Saccharomyces cerevisiae S288C: one gene and its partners. The protein of the gene in region 3 interacts with the protein of the main gene of each other region in a biochemical or structural test. Each region holds a gene or a part of one and is shown on either strand. Other genes may lie near its edges.

The links.
Region 1: of the proteins of TIM10 (region 3) and YME1, one has a biochemical effect on the other in vitro, tested with the Saccharomyces cerevisiae proteins (2 studies listed by BioGRID, with this or other methods).
Region 2: the proteins of TIM10 (region 3) and MIA40 form a complex in vitro, tested with the Saccharomyces cerevisiae proteins (4 studies listed by BioGRID, with this or other methods).

The regions. Positions count from the first base shown.
Region 1 is NC_001148.4:608,744-614,482, reverse strand, and holds YME1 (i-AAA protease YME1), read right to left. Parts: upstream 4,003-5,739; coding exon 1,759-4,002; downstream 1-1,758. Other genes in the region: TFIIH complex kinase subunit CCL1, read left to right, coding at 1-1,106; EAF3 (Eaf3p), read left to right, coding at 4,452-5,657. UniProt on the Saccharomyces cerevisiae protein: Catalytic subunit of the mitochondrial inner membrane i-AAA protease supercomplex required for mitochondrial inner membrane protein turnover. The protease is probably ATP-dependent. Important to maintain the integrity of the mitochondrial compartment.
Region 2 is NC_001143.9:74,210-78,790, reverse strand, and holds MIA40 (Mia40p), read right to left. Parts: upstream 2,971-4,581; coding exon 1,759-2,970; downstream 1-1,758. Other genes in the region: threonine--tRNA ligase MST1, read left to right, coding at 145-1,533; palmitoyltransferase YKT6, read left to right, coding at 3,257-3,859. UniProt on the Saccharomyces cerevisiae protein: Required for the import and folding of small cysteine-containing proteins (small Tim) in the mitochondrial intermembrane space (IMS). Forms a redox cycle with ERV1 that involves a disulfide relay system.
Region 3 is NC_001140.6:113,173-119,390, reverse strand, and holds TIM10 (protein transporter TIM10), read left to right. Parts: upstream 1-3,489; coding exon 3,490-3,771; downstream 3,772-6,218. Other genes in the region: STP2 (Stp2p), read right to left, coding at 1-1,577; GPA1 (guanine nucleotide-binding protein subunit alpha), read left to right, coding at 4,474-5,892. UniProt on the Saccharomyces cerevisiae protein: Mitochondrial intermembrane chaperone that participates in the import and insertion of multi-pass transmembrane proteins into the mitochondrial inner membrane.

The DNA of each region.
Region 1 (5,739 bases), on a different chromosome or scaffold from region 3:
CAAAATTAAAATCGGCTGATGAGAATAACAAGCCACCGAACTACAAAAGAATTTCTGACGATGATTTATATAGGCACTCTTCTCAGTATAGAATGTGGTCATACACTAAAGATCAACTTCAGGAGAAAAGGGTAGATACCAATGCCCGAGCGATTGCTTACATTGAGGAAAATTTATTAAAATTTAGAGAAGCACACAATTTAACAGAAGAAGAAATAAAAGTACTAGAAGCAAAGGCTATCCCTTTGACAATGGAAGAAGAACTCGATTTGGTGAATTTCTACGCAAAAAAAGTTCAGGTAATAGCACAGCATCTAAATTTGCCAACCGAAGTAGTGGCCACTGCGATATCCTTTTTTAGGCGTTTTTTCTTAGAAAATTCTGTTATGCAAATAGATCCTAAAAGTATTGTACATACTACTATCTTTCTAGCCTGCAAATCGGAGAACTATTTTATTAGCGTGGACTCGTTTGCTCAAAAGGCCAAATCTACTAGAGATAGTGTTCTCAAATTCGAGTTTAAGTTGTTAGAATCATTGAAATTTTCACTGTTGAACCATCATCCTTACAAACCGCTTCATGGGTTTTTCTTAGATATCCAGAACGTCCTTTATGGTAAGGTTGATTTAAATTACATGGGCCAAATATACGATAGGTGTAAGAAGAGAATAACTGCCGCATTATTAACCGATGTCGTATATTTCTACACTCCACCCCAAATAACACTAGCAACATTATTGATTGAGGATGAAGCCTTGGTCACAAGGTATTTAGAAACAAAATTTCCCAGCAGAGAAGGTAGCCAGGAATCAGTACCGGGAAACGAAAAAGAAGAACCACAAAATGATGCCAGTACAACTGAGAAAAACAAAGAGAAGTCCACAGAGAGCGAAGAATATTCGATAGACTCCGCGAAGTTACTAACCATAATACGCGAGTGTAAAAGTATTATTGAAGATTGTAAACCTCCGAGTACTGAAGAGGCCAAGAAAATTGCGGCAAAAAACTATTATTGTCAAAATCCATCAACACTGATTCAGAAATTAAAAAGGAAGTTGAATGGAGAAGATACTTCGTCCACCGTTGAGAAAAAGCAAAAAACATGAAACAGCTCTGTTACCGTAGGTTTCTGTTTTATATATATATATAGATTAAGATGCATAGGTATATAGACCGGCGCCATTTTATATTATTTCATGCCATGAATATATACTGCAAAAAATGTGACAATGAGTAAATTGCTAACTAGCGCTACAATGTGATTATTTTTGCTACACACGTTTATCCATTGAATATTCTATTTACAATGTATGGCGTATTGATACACATGTACCTATATATATCAACAAGTGCTTTTATCTTAACTTTTATGAAAGATTAATGATTGGTTTAATCATCAACGATACTCCGTTCCATGGTGTGACTTTTTTAAGGCTTGTCACTGGGGGAAAGCGACGGTTGGTTAAGGGATGAAAGAAATTAATAACCCACTTGCGATCATCGGTTATCCTGAAGTATTTTGTCGCAAATACCCAAGCTTAATGCCTCTTTTCTTATCACAGAAATAATATTATAATTTCTCCTTACGAATAATCTGAAGTTTCAAGCTGACCAGGAGAAGATGTAGATTCTGAAAGTTTCCCGCGATCATGCTTCATTGCTGGTGTTATGAAGCAAAAGCGAAACCGACCAGAAAAGAACAAAGCATTCTCGGTCTTGAGGTAGGTTCCTTCATACGTTTAACTTCTTAGAATAAAATCATGCATTTAACATTGTAGGAATTTTGGGTTTATCATCGCCTATATCTTTACGTTCATCACTGTCTGGTCCTTCTACGACTGTATTGGTGGAAGTTTTCAGTTTGTCCAGTTTTTCACCTTTACAAACTTGTTCGATTTCGTGGGCATCTAGAGTTTCATATTCAATAAGACCTTGCGCAAGTCTATGTAGCTCAACATTTTTCTTAGTTAATAGTCTTCTTGCTCTTTCCTCGGAGTCCTTCAAAAGTTCAATCACTTCATTATCAGCAATATCGCGAATCTTATTAGACCAAGATTCCCAATTTTCTGACAAGTTAACGGGACCTACATCATCACTCATACCATATTGAGTAACCATAGCCCTTGCTGTGCCGGTGGCGCTTTGCAAGTCAGACCCACAACCACTTGTGGTGTTATCTTTACCATAAATTAATTCTTCTGCAATTTTGCCCCCCATGCACACGTCCAGTCTGGCTTGACACTCCCTTTTGGTGATGTCGACCTTATCCATTTCTGGCAATTGAAAAGTAATACCCAATGCCCTACCTCTAGGCAATATCGTGGCCTTGTATAGCGGGGTAGCACCATTGGTGTATTTGGCCATAATGGCATGTCCAGCCTCGTGGAAAGCAGTGGCCTTTCTGGCTGCATCTGTTAAGACCATAGTCTTTCTCTCAGCACCCATCAATATCTTATCCTTAGCCCACTCGAAGTGGGACATATCAACGGAAACAGCATTTTTTTGACACGCGTAAACTGCTGCTTGGTTGACTAAATTTGCCAGCTCAGCGCCTGATAAACCGGGGGTACCACGCGCAATAATAGTTGGATCCACATTGTCTGCCAATGTAATCTTCTTCATGTGATGCTTTAAAATATCAGCACGACCACGAACATCTGGCAAATCCACATTCACAACCTTATCAAATCTACCTGGTCTAGTTAACGCCTTATCTAAAGCCTCAGGGAAATTTGTGGCACCAATAATAATAATTCCACTTGTTTGTGAGAAACCATCTAATTCGACCAATAACTGATTCAACGTTTGTTTGGCGTAAGCTTGGTCCTTTGGATTACGCTTACCACCGATGGCATCTAATTCATCAATAAAAATAATAGCTGGTGCACGAGAACGCGCTTGAGCAAACAAATCACGGATACGTTTAGCACCAACACCGACGTAAACTTCATCAAATTCAGAACCTGACATAAAGAAAAAATCTACACCAGCCTCTCCGGCAGTGGCCCTAGCCAACAAAGTTTTACCTGTACCAGGAGGTCCAGTCAACAGTACACCCTTTGGTAGTTTACCACCCAAGGACTCGTACTTAGTTGGATCTTTCAGGAAATCAACAATTTCTTCCAATTCCGCACGGGCCTCATCACAACCGCAGACATCATCAAATTTAACATTTGTCTTAGCTACATCAACTGATTTGTCGGCTACTTCTGACGACTTTAGTAGCGTTGTATTTTCTGTGATGTATTTAAAACCTTCAGAAAAAGAGTAGGTTAAGATACCGAAAACAAGCAGCCACTTTACCCATCTCGATACAACAGTAAAAGTTGATTCAGATACGACAACATGTAGTGGCTCTTTGCGAGATCCATAAAGCGGAGAATACATCGATGGAAAGTTACCATGATAACCTGACTGGTTTGATGAAGATGACGCCAATGATGGGTTAACTGCGCCAGCAGAGCTGGCTGTCAGTAGGTTTTGTCTAACGGCATCAGCCTCCGAGTGTCTGCCTATCCTCTGCAGGGCCTCCATGTACAGTTCCATGCATTCAGGCGATGACGCAATACCGGGGGTCTCAAACCTAGAGACCACGTATTGCGGGTAGTTTGATTGTAAGAGAAGTTTGTAAAAGGCTGCTTGTGCATCAGGACTCGTTAAGTCTTTATTGGCCTCTTGTTCTCTAGTTGCTAGCATAGCATGTGACACAGCTACGTTCGCTTGTTTGGTTTTATCATTAGTGTTCGATGGAGGTGGTGGTTGCGAATTGTCGATTGAAGATATCGTGGATTTATTGGATGCCTTTCCAGAGCTATCAGCTTCCTTCTTAGGAGGCATTTCACCGCTATTCTTTTCAGAATAAAAACGGTAGAACTTCTTTGATCTTAAGGCCCATTTTTTTTGAACTAACAAAGAAGCACCGATTTGAGGTAGCCTGGGAGCAAATATGCGTAAAACATTTGTCGTGACCGTGGGCGACACAAGTATTTTTGAAACGTTCATCTATCACGTCTCTGTTTTCGTTCTATCCACAATGTATTATAATTAAAAATTGCTTCAATAAAATCCTGTTTATCCTTTAAGCTGTGCTTGCTTTTTACTTATCAAAAACGCAAGGTAGAGATTTAACTCACTTCACCAACTCCGATATATTGCCTTTTCACTACCGCTACAGCGTACAGGAGCTACCACTCCTCGAAGAAAGAGGTACCATGTGATTCGAGATTACTAACCAACCGATGCTGATAGAAAAAGGTGGCGAAGATTGGGGGCCGTTCCTCCGGCGATCGCCACATATCGCATTTCACGAAAGATGAAAATAAAGATGCATCCGAAATCCCGACCAGAAACGTAAAAGGGTATATTGCAAAACAGTCGTTAAAAGCATATAGCATTTTGCATTAGCATCTGTGAGGCCTCGTCACTGGATTTACCCTATTGAAGAACGTATAATGGTTGATTTGGAGCAGGAATTTGCGCTCGGTGGGCGGTGTCTGGCATTCCATGGTCCTCTTATGTATGAAGCAAAGATCTTGAAAATATGGGATCCATCTTCGAAAATGTATACCAGCATTCCTAATGACAAGCCAGGTGGTAGTTCACAAGCAACTAAGGAAATAAAGCCACAAAAGCTGGGAGAAGATGAAAGCATTCCAGAAGAGATCATTAATGGGAAGTGTTTTTTCATACATTACCAAGGCTGGAAGTCGAGTTGGGATGAGTGGGTTGGATATGATAGGATACGGGCCTACAATGAAGAGAATATTGCCATGAAAAAAAGACTGGCGAACGAGGCGAAAGAAGCTAAGAAATCGTTACTGGAACAGCAGAAAAAAAAGAAGCTCTCCACTAGTCTGGGAGGGCCTAGTAATGGTGGAAAAAGAAAGGGAGACAGCCGCTCGAATGCTAGTATAAGTAAGAGCACTTCACAGAGTTTTTTAACATCTTCAGTGAGCGGCAGGAAAAGCGGAAGAAGTTCCGCTAATTCCCTCCATCCTGGCAGCTCTTTGCGCTCGTCATCCGACCAAAATGGGAATGATGACCGCAGAAGATCTTCTTCGCTATCGCCAAATATGCTACATCATATTGCCGGCTATCCAACCCCCAAGATTTCCCTTCAAATTCCCATAAAATTGAAGAGCGTGTTAGTCGACGATTGGGAATACGTAACGAAGGACAAAAAAATTTGCAGACTACCCGCTGATGTGACGGTAGAGATGGTACTGAATAAATACGAACATGAAGTGAGTCAAGAATTGGAATCGCCAGGGTCCCAGTCACAGTTGAGCGAATACTGTGCCGGTCTCAAGTTGTATTTTGACAAGTGCCTGGGTAATATGCTTTTATATAGGTTGGAACGGCTGCAATATGACGAACTTCTGAAAAAATCATCGAAGGATCAAAAGCCACTAGTACCAATTAGAATTTATGGGGCTATCCATCTGTTAAGGTTGATAAGTGTTTTACCAGAGCTGATCTCGTCTACTACAATGGATCTACAAAGCTGTCAGCTTTTAATCAAACAAACCGAAGACTTCTTGGTTTGGTTGTTGATGCATGTGGACGAATACTTCAATGACAAGGATCCAAATAGAAGTGACGATGCTCTGTATGTAAATACGTCTAGCCAATACGAAGGAGTGGCTTTAGGTATGTGAGACGTTTATATTCTAGCTTGGGATTATTTCTAGTATTTAGTTCTTCCGTATTTATGCAATAACTCTTCACAGAATATCTCGT
Region 2 (4,581 bases), on a different chromosome or scaffold from region 3:
TTTGATCCTTTTAAAAAAAACTGAATAATCCATCTAGTTAAAGTTCGCCCTTAAAAACCTCGAGCATGAAAAAAAGAAGAGCTGCTGAACTACATAAAGAAAAACATATGCAATAGCTAAGGGCACGTCCTTCTGTCTCGCAATATGAAAATACAACTTGTAAGATGGCATTGTTCTCGCAATGCTCTTTGGAATCGTGCTTTCTACTCTACGAGAAAGGCCACTAAGAACGCTTCGTCGGCGACTCCAGCTACTATGACATCCATGGTATCTCAGAGGCAAGATCTTTTCATGACAGATCCACTATCTCCTGGATCCATGTTCTTTCTTCCAAATGGTGCTAAGATTTTCAACAAATTGATAGAGTTTATGAAGTTACAACAAAAGTTCAAATTTGGTTTTAATGAAGTTGTGACGCCTTTGATTTACAAAAAGACTCTTTGGGAAAAGTCTGGTCACTGGGAAAATTATGCTGATGACATGTTTAAGGTGGAAACTACGGATGAAGAAAAGGAGGAATACGGTTTAAAACCGATGAATTGCCCAGGCCATTGTCTGATCTTCGGTAAAAAGGATAGATCGTATAACGAACTTCCCCTACGCTTCTCTGATTTTTCACCACTACATAGAAATGAAGCTTCTGGTGCACTGTCGGGATTGACTAGACTAAGGAAGTTCCATCAAGACGATGGTCATATCTTTTGCACTCCTTCCCAAGTGAAATCAGAAATTTTCAACTCTTTAAAATTAATCGACATAGTTTACAACAAAATTTTCCCCTTTGTTAAAGGAGGTTCTGGAGCAGAGAGCAATTATTTTATAAACTTTTCTACAAGACCGGATCACTTCATTGGAGACCTCAAAGTTTGGAATCATGCTGAGCAAGTACTCAAGGAAATCTTGGAAGAATCAGGCAAACCGTGGAAACTGAACCCTGGTGATGGTGCGTTCTATGGTCCAAAGTTGGATATAATGGTTACGGACCATTTACGCAAAACTCATCAAGTCGCTACTATTCAGTTGGACTTTCAGCTACCTGAGAGGTTCGATTTGAAATTCAAGGATCAAGACAACTCGTACAAGAGGCCAATTATGATTCATAGAGCTACTTTTGGTTCTATCGAAAGATTTATGGCTTTACTGATAGATTCTAATGAGGGCCGTTGGCCGTTTTGGTTGAATCCTTACCAAGCTGTAATTATTCCCGTCAATACGAAAAATGTGCAACAGCTAGACATGTGCACTGCCTTGCAGAAAAAACTACGTAATGAACTGGAAGCCGACGACATGGAACCAGTTCCTTTAAATGATTGGCATTTCAATGTTGATCTCGACATAAGAAACGAACCCGTAGGGTATAGGATCAAGTCGGCCATTTTGAAAAACTATTCCTATTTAATTATCGTGGGTGATGAGGAAGTACAGTTACAGAAATACAACATTCGAGAACGTGATAATAGAAAGAGTTTCGAGAAACTTACAATGTCTCAAATTTGGGAAAAATTTATTGAGCTGGAAAAAAACTACAAGTAACTTAAAATATATGACAAACTTGCCCTGTAAATAAAAGGATACGATTTGATGTATAGCTGGATTCATACAGAGACTAGACTCATCCGCCCCACAGATGCATTAATTCATGTATATTTCACATATTATACCATATGTAGTCATTAAACTAAGATAATATTACTGTATTTACATGTATCATCCTTTATACTTTTATACTTTTTACGTTCGGGAGATTTTCAGGAGATTTTAAGGTTTGGATTCCTCATTCAATGGTTCTTTTTTCACATCTGATTGCTCTGCTTTTTTCGCAGCATTTTCCTTTGCGCTTGAAACATTTGGCGCTGATTCTATTGTGTTGACCTTTACTTTGTCTTGAGGTTCCTCATCATCAGATGTTTCCTTTAGTTGTTCTGCATAATGCTCGGGGTATTTTCTGAAACAGTCTTGCATATGTTGAAACTTTTCAACACAGTCGATACCTTTTGGTTCAGCTTCAGAATAGACGAAGCAAGAAAATGCAGATTTGAACTCTTCACCACAGGGTCCATGGGCCATACCTCCCAAGCAAGGACAGTCCCAATTTATCTCACCAGTGTCTGGGTTATAAGCACCTTCGTGTTGAACCTCTTCTTCAGTAGGACCCATTTGCTTTTCCTCTTGTTTTCTTAGTTCTTCTTTCTCTTCATCGCTAGATTCAGATTGCTTAGCTGAATTTTCCGAGTCACTTACAGTTTTTTTTGAGGATTCTTCTTCTCCATTATTATCTTCAGTAGTTGTCTTGTCATCAGATTGTCCCTGTTGCGATTTTTCATCATCTGAATGTTCTGGATCTTTTTTTTCAGAAGATCCAGCATTGTTGTCTAGTGTTTTGTCACTAGTATTTTCTTCCGAGTTCTCAGAACTTATGTTTTCATCCTTTTGATTGTTAGCGGTGGCATTGTCTTCATTGGATTGCTCATCATCTTTGGTTGATACCTTTGATTCATCAGTATCTTTATCTTCGGAAGACTTGTTGTCTTCTTCTGCTAGAACAACCAATTCACCATCTTCAGCTACTTTTGAAGCACCAATTTTATCACCCCCTAATTGAGGGCCAGCTTCAGTTTCATCGTTTTTGCTGTCGTTGTCATCTCCATTTTCATCGCTTTTGCTGTTGTTGTCATCTTCATTTTCTGGTGATTGCTCACCACCACTGGAAAGCTCTTCCTCTGCGGTTTTATCGGATTCTACCTTCCTTGAGGCGAAAAGAGGCTTCCTATTAGGAGCAATAAAATATAAAGCACCAGCCATAGAAAGAATCCCCATTATAAAGCCCGCTGTTTTTTCCTGATTGGAGTTCCTACCGAACTGAGGGGAGGACGCCATGAGACGTCTTGTTTGGTGTCGGCATAACCCCCTTGCCACTTGAATTGACGGCCTGTTTCTGCACGCATTCCTGACGACTAAGTTGCGAAGCATTTTACTGATAATATACACTCTTTGGATCGAGCCTACTTCCAGTTGGTAATTGGTGTTCCACAATTTCAGCATTATATGTTTTTAAACCAAAATTCGGCTCCTTTTCCCTTTTTTTCTTATTGGGTGGCGTGCCGTACAGAACGATTGGCTTGGTGTGAAATCAAGAGCAAGCACAATAGATATCAACATGAACAATATACAAAAGTCTCTGGCACAGTTTGACTGCGTTAGACCAGGCTAGGGCATTTCTGAAGCTTTACGTATCACTAGAGAAGTTATTTTGGCAATGAGAATCTACTACATCGGTGTATTTCGCTCTGGAGGAGAAAAGGCTCTAGAGTTGAGTGAAGTTAAAGACTTGTCACAATTTGGTTTCTTTGAAAGGTCTAGTGTTGGCCAGTTTATGACTTTTTTTGCTGAAACGGTCGCTTCTAGAACTGGTGCAGGACAAAGACAAAGTATAGAAGAAGGCAACTATATTGGCCACGTTTATGCCAGGAGTGAGGGCATATGTGGTGTTTTGATCACCGACAAAGAATATCCTGTCAGACCAGCATACACACTATTAAACAAAATATTGGATGAATATTTAGTCGCACATCCTAAGGAAGAGTGGGCAGATGTGACTGAGACCAATGATGCATTGAAAATGAAGCAACTGGACACTTACATTAGCAAATATCAAGATCCTTCACAGGCTGACGCTATCATGAAAGTTCAACAAGAACTGGATGAGACGAAAATCGTTTTGCACAAAACGATTGAGAATGTTTTACAAAGAGGTGAAAAGTTGGATAATTTGGTGGACAAATCGGAGTCATTAACGGCAAGTTCCAAAATGTTTTATAAGCAAGCTAAAAAATCCAATTCGTGTTGCATCATCATGTAGATGCATCCACACACTATTTTCAGCATAGTGTGGCTTTTCATCTGCTTTATGTAATTTAGAAAGCCAATGACAGCAGCAAGGGAAACAAAAATCTTTTAAATCAAATTAATTGTTTAAATAATATACTATGTAAGCATCGATTCTCCTAACTATTATAACCAAAGGTTGATTTGAAGCCATTGGCATTGTATTAGAATTGATTTGTTTCTTCAGTGTAAAAAAGTTAAAAATAAGCGACCCCAGTGAGGGTTGAACTCACGATCTTGCGATTAACAGTCGCACGCCTTAACCAACTTGGCCATGGAGTCTAATTGCTATATTTTTCTTTTGAAAACAAGATATATAAATAATGCTTGAGCTGGAGCATTTACGTTGTAAATGTATAATTAGTGTAAGAAACCGCTGGGCCCTATTTGTTGATGAAGTATTTACTTAAATGTAACAGAATATACTGGAAGTCCCCCCTCGGGCACATGGAAATTCACTAAAAGGAATTGGTAATGCATATGATATTACTACCGTTTCTCATTTCACTTTATATGCTTTCAGTGATTGTGTTACTACGTGACAGTTCTTACAATTCAGCGCCGTTACTCTCTATGAGTGCTCTCATTATTTATATCATATTCTTACACTTCATACAATTATATATACTCGTACCATGGATATTAGAGGATAGTTGGTTTTTGTTTAAACTAATTCTATGTAACCTCGATGGCATG
Region 3 (6,218 bases):
GTCTCCTTCAAATGATTCTCACCCAGAAGTTCAAAGTCCATTTGCTTCTGTAACATCTCATTAATGGAAATCATATTGCTTTCCTTTGACTGATTGATTGCGTCCTCCTCGGTTTTGTCTGGCTCCAACAACGATTGCTCTGAATCCAATGGGTATGACTTATTTGTTTCTGTAGTTGTTATTGGATCGCCTGAAAGTGGAGATAGCGCTGAGGAGGCAGAGGATAATGCTGGAGAATCCATATGCAATGTGTATCTTGATGATTGATACTCTTGTGGTACAGAAGATGCATTTTGGGGTGACAAAATTGGGGGAGATATTATTGACCACTCTTTGAGATTTTGGACTTCTGTAGGTCCTCTTGATTGTGTAGTTTGTGTAGGTCTTGATATTTGTTTGCGTTCAAACCATTGAGTGCCTATTCCAAAATCGTTTTTTTCGGTTTTGGTTGGTATGATCTTGTCATTAGGGCGTTCCTTGGACTGCATTACTGTCGCTTCTATACAATTCTTATTTTGTAAAGCTGGTTCGGAAACACTTTCGTCGGATGAGATGAACCTTGTTTGGCCATCCGAAGTCTTTATCATTTTCATTTTAGACGTCTTTTTCTTCTCTCGTATTCCCTCTGAATAGCCTTCTGGTAAACCTTTGCAACTCCCAGCCTCAATGTGGTTTTCCACCCAGCTCTCACTAGTGCTAAAGTGTTCCCCACATTGAGTGCACACTCCAGGTGATTTATTACGGTCCTGAGGCTTAACACCTTCTGGGTAAGTGAAATGTCTAGATTTCAAATGTGTTTTGTAGGTATCTCTTCTGCTAAACCCCCCAGAAGTATGGCATCGCAATTCTTGCGAAATGCTATTATCAAAAAATGGACAGTGATAGGCCTTCCTTTTCGCATGCTTTTTTATGTGTCGTGTTAAGTAACCTCTGATTCGGAACCTAGCATCGCAATAGTGACATATATATGGTAAAGTTTCGGATGACTCATCAGCAATTCCTTGAACCTCATCGGATAGGGGAGATTCATCAATACTTTTCTTCGATGCAGGAGTGATTACGCTACTTACGGGCGTGATTGGAAGGAAATTAGAGGGGAAAAGAGCTTTGTACTGGTCATTATTGATATAGGATTCCTCTAGCGGGGGAGAACTTATCAAGTCATTCTGTAACTTTGCTGGCTCGCCGCGGCTAGGGCCCCGTAAAATCGGTTCGTCCAAGTTCAACTGTGTAGTGACTGCACCATTATTATCAATTTTAATTGAGAAAGGTGTTTCTAGGTTATCCAAATTTAAAGCACAGGGTACAACTGAAGATTTTGATGTTAGACTCAATTGTTTGTTGTTCTGTTTGGGAAATAATTCGCTCACGTCAACCAGATCGTCCTTTTCGGTAGCACAGCAGTCTTTCTGTGGATGGTTCTGTTTCGCAGGTTCTAACTTTTCGAAAGGAGTACTTTTCGAAGATTTGTCGTCTTCCACATTGGGCACAATCACTTGCTGCACTAATGCTTTAAGGTAGTCATATATCCTTGTTAACACGCTGTTCCGTGTTGAAGATAGTGATAAGATAGGCATGATAATGGATTTCCTTACTTCCCCAACTTTTTGCTCTCTTGCATTTGTCTGTTTGTCGGATGATTAATCACTGTTTTTCATTTATTAATCATCGTTTTTCTCGCTTTTTGCCCGTATTGGAATGTGAAGAGAAAAAAAAAATGATAAGAATTCTAAAAAAAGATACTCTTCGTTCGAATGGATGACTCTAAGAAGGGTAACAGACTTTCAATCTTCAAATAACATTATAATCTCTATTCTAGCCCTTAGAGGAGCATGTCATGCGTTCAGAACCTCCATTAATAGCTTACTTTATAACTTTCTATCAGTCACAAGTTAAACGTCGACAATTTTTGTGGGAAATGGTCTGTTTTTTTTCTTCAGTTAATAAATCTCGTTCTTGACTGCAGGTAATTAATGGTATCGTGATCGTTACCTATGCTTACACACTATAAGAATTTTCTTCGTGAGAATTGGCCCATTTCTCTGGTTCTTCTGAAGAGAGTTTTGCTGACCATCAATCAGCTTTACGAAAATTTACCGCCCAATTTCTTGCCAAAATGCCATCCATATTCCCATTCATTGGAATTCTTTCACTATTTTATCATTTCAATGTTCTTTGTAGCAACAGGCTCTTCTTTTTCACGCTTACTGTGATCATTTGTTATAAGTGCTGGTATTTTCTCTCTTCTGGAATTCCGTGCTATTGATATCACGACATGTGCGCTTCTCATGATTTTGCCGCCCAAGGCACATTTTGCCGTCTGTTTTTAACCTAATATTTATGTCGCGGGTATATTATCATATATTGCGTAAGAGGATGGTATTGCTGATGGGAAGTGGTCAACAAATTCAATAGGCACTGAAATGTAAGGGCTGACAATGTAATTGGATAAAGAAAGGCAACACATGAAAGGAAGAAAAAAAAAACGTTATTTATTATTATGTAAAACTATTGACCTCACCTTTGTGATTCACGCTGTCCTCGTGAAAAAACTTTTTTTGTTTTTGTAGACCTAATAAAAGAACCTTTTTTAACAATGTCCTAACAATAATTTCAACAGTTGCCAAACCTCAAATAGTGTTGGAATAAAAATCCACTATCGTCTATCAACTAATAGTTATATTATCAATATATTATCATATACGGTGTTAAGATGATGACATAAGTTATGAGAAGCTGTCATCGATGTTAGAGGAAGCTGAAGTGCAAGGATTGATAATGTAATAGGATAATGAAACATATAAAACGGAATGAGGAATAATCGTGATATTAGTAAATAGAAATATAGATTCCATTTTGAGGATTCCTATATCCTCGAGGAGAACTTCTAGTATATTCTGTATACCTAATATTATAGCCTTTATCAAAAATGGAATCCCAACAATTATCTCAACATTCACCCATTTCTCAAATAGTATGTTTTGGTGTTAAAGAAGAACATTGGAAACAAAGGAAAGGTAAGCATTAGCCCGGAAACAAAACAAGAGGAAGTAATATACACCTTTTTGGTTAACTTGTTCGTTCAGAAGAGCCCAAGTATGTAATTATTTTTTGCAAATCTTTCCTCAGTAACGATAACGACACGAAGGTAATATTTTAAAACATTTATCAACAAGTCACTAAATATAATCTGGGTCCTATCACTATTAGAGCTTCTATGGCCAAGTTGGTAAGGCGCCACACTAGTAATGTGGAGATCATCGGTTCAAATCCGATTGGAAGCATTTTTTGCATTGATTTCCCAATTCGTAGCTGATGATCACCCTCTGAAGCTATCGGACATTTTTTTTCTTTAATTTTTTCAGCGAGAGAGCTGGCAGTGAACGTACAAGAGCAAGCTCTCTAAAGAACTATTACTCTCCTCGTTCCCCTCTCATGTCTTTTAACAGATAAACAAGCAAAAGAAGGAACTATCATACTTAGAAAAACATGTCTTTCTTAGGTTTCGGTGGTGGTCAGCCTCAATTATCATCTCAACAAAAGATTCAAGCTGCGGAAGCTGAACTAGATTTGGTCACAGACATGTTCAATAAATTGGTTAATAACTGTTATAAAAAATGTATCAATACTTCTTATTCCGAGGGTGAGCTGAATAAGAATGAATCTTCGTGCCTAGACAGATGTGTGGCCAAATATTTTGAGACCAATGTTCAAGTCGGTGAAAACATGCAGAAAATGGGCCAATCATTTAACGCAGCCGGTAAGTTTTAGAAATGTGCATTAAAGCAGTAATGATAAGACGAAAATAAGAAAAGAAATCCATAAGCTGTTTTACTCGACTCAACGTTATAATTAGTATTATTGATTCATATCCTGTATATACAAGTAACATTATACTCTTTTCTGTACTTCATCTTTACCTTTTTATCTTACATGGCACATGTTGTTTGAAAACAAGATCATAGGTGGATAAAGCAAGCCGAATCTAAAAAAAAAAAAATGTCTCTATTGGAAAACTGAATGCATAACGATATTCCCTTTTCATGCAGATAACACTGACTAGTTTCAATTTGAAACGCATCTTCGTGTTATTTCACCGAAACGCACTCGGCTCAGCATGTTAAAAAGCACATCAATTTAGGGCTCTGCGCGTCCTTCTGCGTATTCTTCCTTGTAGAAATGCAATTAAATGGAGAGCAGAAATTTTTTTGTTACATATTGTTTTCCTTAAAGGGAAATATTAAAAAATAGTCTAAAATGAAGAGGATAGTAGAATTCCACCAATTTCTTTACGTTTTATATTATTCGTAATCTTTTGATCTGTTATTCATTTTTTCTTGTCACTCCGTTTCTAACATTTTTGACCATTTCTAAGACCAAACTGAGTAGAAGCTATTCATACTGTAAATTGGTATTTTAGCATCACATCAATAATCCAGAGGTGTATAAATTGATATATTAAGGTAGGAAATAATGGGGTGTACAGTGAGTACGCAAACAATAGGAGACGAAAGTGATCCTTTTCTACAGAACAAAAGAGCCAATGATGTCATCGAGCAATCGTTGCAGCTGGAGAAACAACGTGACAAGAATGAAATAAAACTGTTACTATTAGGTGCCGGTGAGTCAGGTAAATCAACGGTTTTAAAACAATTAAAATTATTACATCAAGGCGGTTTCTCCCATCAAGAAAGGTTACAGTATGCTCAAGTGATATGGGCAGATGCCATACAATCAATGAAAATTTTGATTATTCAGGCCAGAAAACTAGGTATTCAACTTGACTGTGATGATCCGATCAACAATAAAGATTTGTTTGCATGCAAGAGAATACTGCTAAAGGCTAAAGCTTTAGATTATATCAACGCCAGTGTTGCCGGTGGTTCTGATTTTCTAAATGATTATGTACTGAAGTACTCAGAAAGGTATGAAACTAGGAGGCGTGTTCAGAGTACCGGACGAGCAAAAGCTGCTTTCGATGAAGACGGAAATATTTCTAATGTCAAAAGTGACACTGACAGAGATGCTGAAACGGTGACGCAAAATGAGGATGCTGATAGAAACAACAGTAGTAGAATTAACCTACAGGATATTTGCAAGGACTTGAACCAAGAAGGCGATGACCAGATGTTTGTTAGAAAAACATCAAGGGAAATTCAAGGACAAAATAGACGAAATCTTATTCACGAAGACATTGCTAAGGCAATAAAGCAACTTTGGAATAACGACAAAGGTATAAAGCAGTGTTTTGCACGTTCTAATGAGTTTCAATTGGAGGGCTCAGCTGCATACTACTTTGATAACATTGAGAAATTTGCTAGTCCGAATTATGTCTGTACGGATGAAGACATTTTGAAGGGCCGTATAAAGACTACAGGCATTACAGAAACCGAATTTAACATCGGCTCGTCCAAATTCAAGGTTCTCGACGCTGGTGGGCAGCGTTCTGAACGTAAGAAGTGGATTCATTGTTTCGAAGGAATTACAGCAGTTTTATTTGTTTTAGCAATGAGTGAATACGACCAGATGTTGTTTGAGGATGAAAGAGTGAACAGAATGCATGAATCAATAATGCTATTTGACACGTTATTGAACTCTAAGTGGTTCAAAGATACACCGTTTATTTTGTTTTTAAATAAAATTGATTTGTTCGAGGAAAAGGTAAAAAGCATGCCCATAAGAAAGTACTTTCCTGATTACCAGGGACGTGTCGGCGATGCAGAAGCGGGTCTAAAATATTTTGAGAAGATATTTTTGAGCTTGAATAAGACAAACAAACCAATCTACGTGAAACGAACCTGCGCTACCGATACCCAAACTATGAAGTTCGTATTGAGTGCAGTCACCGATCTAATCATCCAGCAAAACCTTAAAAAAATTGGTATTATATGAAGGAACTGTATAATTAAAGTAGTGTTTAGATACGTAAATTCTGTTTCCGAAGATGCAAGAAGGAGCAGCAGCACCAGAAAAAATTACTATTTTTCTTCTCCATTAGAGTCTATGATGGAATGCCAAATGAAAAAGCCATTTTGTTCAACAGTTCTTGATCTCGTTAAATCGTTCCGGGTTTTCAATTGAAAAACAAGGGTAATAAAATCGCATGAGAAAAAAAAGGTCCAGACACTTTTTTAGAAGAAAAACTCTTGAAAACAATTGATTCTTCTACGTAAGGACAGGGTATTATCTCGAATTCTTCTCCCTGGTAAATACTCGGG